2 linked regions of the Oryctolagus cuniculus genome follow. The protein of the gene in region 2 binds, or shares a complex with, the protein of the main gene of each other region. Links are inferred from orthologs where the notes say so. Each region holds a gene or a part of one and is shown on either strand. Other genes may lie near its edges.

Region 1 (3,649 bases), on a different chromosome or scaffold from region 2:
TTAGTTATGTCTTTTAGAGAATCTTCCACATGAAGTCTTGCCACCAATGTTATCCTACAAGTAAGCTAAACATTTGAGCATCTCCCCTCAATAAATTATCTCCTTCCTAAAAAAAAATTAAAGATAACATTTTAAAGGGTGAGACAAGTGGTATACAATGAGAAAAGTACTTTATTCAGTGCAAATTTTTCAGCTGTATTCATAATTACAGTACAAAAAATTTCCCTTCTTGCTAAGTAGTTTTGTTGTTTTACTTAAATAATTAGCTTTAAGAAAAAAGTGAAAATGCAAAACCTTATATTCCTTATGTGTATGTCTACATATGTACATATATGCATATGTGTGTCTGCTTTTTCATATGAACCGCTCAAAATAATTTCAAAACACATTCTTTTTTGCATTTAAAAGCAAGCATCCTTTTAAATATTTAGAAACTCCAGAGGTGGTGGCTTTAGTGGAATTTTTCCCAGAGTAAATTTCTTGGATTGAAATTGTTCCAGTTCTTCTGCTGTTAGCTGATCCTTGGCTGTAAATAACACGTTATCTTTTGTGACAATGACATTTGATACTGGGAGAGGGGTGGAGATGCTGCCATTTCCAAAGATGTCATTAGATGGCTTAGAGAACGCAGTCTGTGACTGTGAGCTCACATGACCAAAACCAGCCACAGAACCGCCACTGCCACAGGCTGGGGCTGCTGGGGCTCCGGCTGGGCCTGCCGCCAAGGAAGACGGAAATCCTGAAAATCCTGGCGATCCAAAGTTGGAAGCTGCAGGGCTTTTAAATGAAAATGAAGCAGCAGATGTGACTTCAGGTTTCCCAAATCCGAAAGTTGGAGTGGAAGTAGAGATGGCAGAACCGGCAGAGGGGACTGCTCCAAACGTTGGAGGACCCCCAAACACTGACTGGCTTCCAGAAGGGGCAGTGCCAAATCCAGAGTTTAGTTTAAAGCTAAAGACCTGAGCATTATTACTGCTGTTTTTCACTGGAAAACCTGCAAAATACAGGAGGAAAAATCTATTACAGTCAGAAGACAAGGCTATGTTATACTCCCTGCTGTCCTTATTTCTGCCATGTTTTGAGGTTGGGAAGTTAGAACACACTAACCCCACAGCCCTGTCTCTTCTACTATGGGCCTCATTTCCACTCTGGTTTACCCCAACCCCAAGGAAAAGCTAAGGGAACAGGGGGTGGACTTCACCAGCAGCTTGTCACCCCATCTCACAGCTGTAATGACAGTGCCCTGCTGGTACACAGAGCAACAGAAACCTCCCGAAAGTGCTGCCACCATAGTTACATATTCTTGTGAAACTCCTGAAATAATCATTCCCCAATCGTAGGATCCTTTAAACATCATGCCCATTCTGGCCTTGCTCACACAAATGCTTGACAAGCCAGTTCTTCCATGCTGCCTAATGTAAGGTGGGAGAATCTGCATGGGTGATTCGGCTTTATAACTTGAAGCCTTTTAAGTTCGACTTTTCTAAATCAGTGAAGGTCTGCATGTATCACTTACCTGGTGATCCAAAGGTTGTTGTTTGCCCACTGCCAAATCCAAACGTAGGGGCTGCTTGATTCATTCCATCCTTTACATCAGAGAGCTTTAAAAAAAAATGGTATGCAAATAATAAAGTACCTTTCCTCCACACTGTACAGCCAAATTCAGTTTTTAAAATATGTGTTTATAAAAGTGTGAAATTGTGTGCTAAATGTTTAGCCTTGTGGTCAAGTTGCTGGTTAGGATGCCTGAATCCCATGTTGGAATCCTGGGTTCGAAACCCACCCTGGTGCTTATTCTAGTTTCCTGCACCCTGGGAGGCAACAGGTGACGGCTCAAGTAATTGGGCCCCTGTTGCCCATGTAGGAGACCTGGACTGAGTTCCCAGCTCCCAGCTGTAGCCTGACTCAGTCTTGCCCATTGCAGGTAAACAAGCAGATGGGAGCCTGTTGGTCTGTCTCGCTCAAACAAGTGTGCGTGTGTGTGTGTGTGTGTGTGTACCATATATATAAGGTTTAATGTGTTTAATTGTTTAACATGGAAAAAGTGCCCATAATATGATGTTGAAAAGGATAGGATATAATTCAAATACTGGATAAACAATGTAATTATAGCTACTAATAATATAAATATATATAGAAAAATGTACATCAGTAAGTTAATAGTGATGGTCTCTGTTTGATGAATTCTAACTGTTTCTTTTAAAAAAAATTATTTATTTGAAAGGCAGAGTTACATAGAAAGAGGAAGAGACAGACACACATAGAGAAATCTCTTCCATTTGCTGGTTTACTCCCCAATGTGGACTGAGCCAGGTTGAGGCCAGAAACCTGGAACTCCATCCAGGTCTTCCACGTGACGGGCCATCTTCCACTGCTTTTCCAGGCACATTAGCAGGGAACTCTAACCCATGTTCATACGGGATGACGGCACTACAGGAAGCAGCTTAACCCACAATACCACAATGCCAGTCCCTGAGGGAGTTATCTGTGTTTTTTAAAAAATTTCTACCGTGAGCATGTATAATCACAAAGATAGCTTATTCTTATTTACTTCCACATGTGTGGCAAGAAACCTGTTATTTCAGCCATTACTGCTGTCTTACAGAGTCTGTACTGGCAGAAAGTTGGGGCCAAGAGCAAGAGCTGGGAATCAGATGCAGACCTTCCAATGCGGGCAGGCATCTTATCTGCTAGGCTAAACACCTGTACCCATGGGGCATGGGTATATACACGTACATACATACTTTATTTATTCACTTATTTGAAAAGTAGAGCAACGGGGGGTGGGGGGAGGGGGAGGGGGAAGGGGGAAGAGAGACAGAGATCTTTCATTGTTGGTCCCTGCCCCAAAAGGTGGCAATAGCCAGGGGTGGGTCAGGCCAAAGCCAGAAGCTAGAAACTCCATACTGTTCTCCCACACGGATGACAAGAGCCCAAGTAGTTGGGCCATCTTCTGCTGCCTTCCCAGGCGCATTAGCAGGGAGATGGATGGGAAGCAGAGCAGCTGGGTCGCAAACTGGCACTCTGATTTGGTTGCAAGCGGCAGCTTAACCTGCTGCACTACATCATCAGCCCCCAGAAAAATATTCTTGATAGTACACTTTGATATCTATATTATAAGGGAAGATCTGCATTTATTAAGAAATCTAGGGGCTGGTGCTGTGGTACAGTGGGTTAAAGCCCCCGTCTGCAGTGCTGGCATTTCATATGGGCACGGGTTCGTGTCCCAGCTGCTCCACTTCCGATCCGGCTCTCTGCTATGGCCTGGGAAAGCAGTAGAAGATGGCCCAAGTCCTTGGGCCCCTGCACCCATATGGGAGACTTGGAAGAAGCATCCTGGCTCCTGGCTTTGGATCAGCTCAGCTGTGGCCATTGCGGCCATCTGGGGAGTGAACCAGTGGAATGGAAGACCTCTCTCTCTGTCTCTACCTCTCTCTGTAACTCTTATCTTTCAAATAAATAAAATAAATCTTAAAACAAAAAGAAATCTAGACAATAGGAGAAAGAGACCTCTATAGGATATGCAATTTAATGCTTGAATATAATTATCTCATTAAACAGTTACTACTGGGGCCGGCGCTGTGGCATAGTGGGTAAAACCACTGCCTGCAGTGCTGACGTCCCACATAGGCACCGGTTTGAGTCCTGG
Region 2 (3,649 bases):
TTCTGTTTTTTGTTTTTCGTTATTCATTTAAATTTACATATTTATTCTGAAAGCATTACAGAGAGGAAGAAACAGTGATCTTCCATCTGCTGGGTCACTCCTCAGATGGCGACAATGGATAAAGCTGGGCAGGGCCACAGCCAAGAGCTTCAGCTGGGTCTCCCAGGTGGGTGGTAGCACCCCAGACGTTTGGCCCATCTTCCGCTGCTTTGCCCAGGCCCTGAGCAGGAAGCTGGATCAGAAGTACAGCAGCCAGGACACAAACTGGCGTCCACAGTGGATGCGTGTCACAGGTGGCAGCTTTACCTGTTACACAATGCCAGCCCCATTTTGTTTTTATTTTTGAAACCACTCTTCTTTTAAAATTTTTAAATATCACTTATTTTAGAGACAGAGATCTCCAATCCACTGGTCACTCCCCCAAACGCTTGCAATAACCGGGGCTGGGCCAGGCTGGAGTCAGGATTTCAATCCAGGTCTCGTGTGGGTGGCTGAGACCTGCAGCCTCCCAGCGTGCGCACCAGCAGGAAGCTGCAATCAGGGGTGGCACGCTGTGGGACCCCGGCACACCAGCAGTATCTTAACAGCTATGTCAAACACCCACCCACACATTTTGGTGTAGGGGATCCCTTTGATACACATGGGTCGGCTTCAGTTTCAGGGATTCCACAGACCGACAGTTTTCCTTGCTGACATTTCATTCATTCTTCATGAGATCTTTGGCACAAAAGCTGAGACGCAGCGGGTGCGCCATCAAGACTTCCTGAGGGACAGATACTGAGATGCTGCTCGGACGCCCACACCCCCTACAAACCTGCCTGGGCTCAAGTCCCAGCGCTGCATCCAATTCCAATTTCCTGCTAATGTGCTCCCTGGTTACCTGCCCAAGCACTTGGAACCCTGCCACCCACAGAGAAGACCCAGATGGAGTTTCAAGTTCCTGGCTTCAGCCTGGCCCAGCCCTAGCTATTGCAGTCATTTGGGGAATGAACCATTCCCTGCCTTGTAGATACCATAAAGAAATTTTGAAAAAAAAAACAAAACAAAACAAAAAAAACATAAAAAACACTTCTACAATCACTCAACTTGTACTTTCCTCTTTAGGTCTTCAAGTCCATTAGCCTGTCCACCCTGCTCATCTCTTCTATTCCTTGAGCAGGGATGGGGCTGGTGGGGCAAAGGCCTGCCCCTGCGGCGTGGCTCACTGTCAGGCCTCCCTCTGCCACCCGAGTGAAACTGTGTGATCCAGGTGATTTCTAGCCTAAGGAGGTCTACGCTGACAATTTCTTGCTCACTCCTCTTCTCCCCGGTGCACTCTGCAGGCGCTCAGGTCTCAGGTGTTGGCATCTGATCCTCCGCCAACACCTAGAGCTGCCTCCCACCCCTTGTCAGTCACCGCACAGGGCAAACACCACACGGGCCTGGTGCGAACATCCCTCGGTGACACCAGCCTTTCCCCCTCACCTCCTGTCGGTTTCCGTACGGCCACCGGAGCTGAATGATGGCGGCATAGAGACGGATCATCCCAGACATGCGTTTGAGGAAGGTGTCCTGCTGTTCCACCTTGGAATCCTTCACCTGGTAGCCAAGCATCCTGTGTGGGAATAAACAATTCAGTGTGACGGTGCACGGCTGAAAGCAACAACAGAGTATCATCACCTTTGCCGCTATGAACATGCTATTACAAAGCACTACTTCTGTAGAAAACTTGGTCTACAATGCACTGCTATCTGTTGTCAGACGTGTGCTCCCTGTAAGCCCGTGAGGAGGCCTCTCGGTAAACGAGGGGGTGCAGGGGGTCCTCACTGCCTTTCATAAAGAGGGAACTGAGGCCCCAGGGGCTGAACGATTAGCCCACTGTTTCCAAGCTGCCAAGTGAAAAGCGAGGTAAATTCAAGACCTCTGGCTTCCAGATCCAGTGTTCTTCCTCTAAACTAACTGGACTTAAATCCAAACCCACAGGCTGTTTCTTTTTTTTTTTTTTTTTTTTTTTTTTTTAATTTTTTGACAGGCAGAGTGGACAGTGAGAGAGAGAGAGAGAGAGAAAGGTCTTCCTTTTGCCATTGGTTCACCCTCCAATGGCCGCCGCGGCCGGCGCGCTGCGGCCGGCGCACCGCGCTGATCCGATGGCAGGAGCCAGGAGCCAGGTGCTTTTCCTGGTCTCCCATGGGGTGCAGGGCCCAAGCACCTGGGCCATCCTCCACTGCACTCCCTGGCCACAGCAGAGGGCTGGCCTGGAAGAGGGGCAACCGGGACAGAATCCGGCGCCCCGACCGGGACTAGAACCCGGGGTGCCGGCGCCGCTAGGCGGAGGATTAGCCTAGTGAGCCGCGGCGCCGGCCCACAGGCTGTTTCTGACAGTGCGCTCTGGGTACGTCAGAGGCACTGGGAGTAGGGGGGAAACACCTTCCAGCTGTTTCTAGTCACGCATCACTGTAGGGCGGGCAAGTCAGGAGGAAGCCACCTCACCTCTGATAGTCCTCCAAAGCCATTCCCTCCTTGAAAGCCGGGTAGAAGGGGACGGAGTAAGGGCACTTCCTGTGTAGATGAGCAAGGATGAGGTCCCCCACCCTGGGGTGGAGCTCCCAGATCCCTGAGGCCACCACCGCGATGGGGAAGGCGGCTTCGTGGTGAGAGGCCACTTCCTCCTCGCCTTGTTTCTGGAACACAGAGATGGATCCGACTTAGAGGCCTGAACGCTGTCTCCCAGCCTTTTCTCCCCTACAAGGAGCAAGGTTTTCTCACCACAAATTTCTCTGCCAGTTTGTACTGGACAAAATCCAGCCCCTGTGGGTTGAGTGTGACGGATACAGAGCGCCCACCAGACTGAACGGGTTTTCCAGAGAGCAGACTGTGAATCTTGTCAAAGATCTCCTTCAGCTTCGAGCCTAGACATGACACAGAAAAGGTCAGTTAACAGCTACACCTGCAGCTCGGGCTTCTTCCCAACACTGTAATAACAAAGCGTCCATGCAGTCCAGCCGTGCAGTCCCAGAGAGGTTCAGAGCCTGAAGACAAAACACGGACACAGAAGAAAGGAGGACAGCAGAACACAGGGTGTGGGGTGCAAAGTCATGGACGGCACTACTCCGGATGAGTGTCTCATGTGGGAACCCAGTCATTCTGAAACTGACACGTGAAGCAAAGACATAAACAGCAGCAAACAGGCATTGAATTCTGCATTGCAGATCTCATAGAGGAGCCAGCTCATGGTTCTTCCAAGGGGCTAACGTCCAACGTCCTCAGAAACTCAGACATGGGTCCCTGTCACTAGCATGCCTCAGAGATCTTGAGTGCCCCACCCCTCTCCACCCAACGATATGAGGTTGCAGGTGGTAAAGCAGCAGGCCTTGTAACTCGTGCTTGCGGGCAGGGGCCTTGCATGTGTCCTGTGGACAAGAGCAGCTGCCCGTTGACAAGAACGGAGACGTACAGAGGAAAGACGAGAGAAAAAGAGAACCAAAGTGGCTAGCCCCATTCCTGCCACTGCCTGCAATAAAAAATTTTTTCCCAAATGTATTGATTTTTAAAATTTATTTAAGAGGCAAAGAGATAAGACTGAGAAATCTTCCACCTGTTGGTTTACTTCCCAAATGCCTACATGGCTGGAACTGAGCCAGGCCAGAGCCAGGAGCAGGAACTCGACCCA

What was found.
Region 1: the proteins of GLE1 (region 2) and NUP42 are in contact, whole or in part, in a crystal structure (PDB 6B4I), measured with the Homo sapiens proteins. The link is inferred for Oryctolagus cuniculus from reciprocal best matches to the Homo sapiens genes GLE1 and NUP42. Residues at the interface, in NP_001003722.1 of Homo sapiens: Ile385, Ile593, Leu598, Asn599, Trp602, Arg603, Ala606, Gln607, Leu609, Asn610, Gln636, Tyr637, Gln638, Val639, Gln640, Lys643, Met644, Ile646, Leu647, Glu650, Asp651, Tyr652; in NP_001357375.1 of Homo sapiens: Asp185, Asn186, Val187, Leu188, Phe189, Gln202, Phe203, Gln204, Ser205, Lys206, Lys207, Phe208, Leu210, Gly211, Lys212, Ile213, Pro214, Leu215, Lys216, Pro217, Pro218, Leu222, Leu223, Asn224, Val225.

The regions. Positions count from the first base shown.
Region 1 is NC_091447.1:15,175,037-15,178,685, reverse strand, and holds the end of NUP42 (nucleoporin NUP42), read right to left. Parts: intron 1,602-3,649; coding exon 1,517-1,601; intron 995-1,516; coding exon 420-994; 3' UTR 154-419; downstream 1-153.
Region 2 is NC_091432.1:231,797,194-231,800,842, reverse strand, and holds part of GLE1 (mRNA export factor GLE1), read right to left. Parts: intron 2,889-3,649; coding exon 2,746-2,888; intron 2,661-2,745; coding exon 2,470-2,660; intron 1,595-2,469; coding exon 1,465-1,594; intron 1-1,464. UniProt on the Homo sapiens protein: Required for the export of mRNAs containing poly(A) tails from the nucleus into the cytoplasm. May be involved in the terminal step of the mRNA transport through the nuclear pore complex (NPC).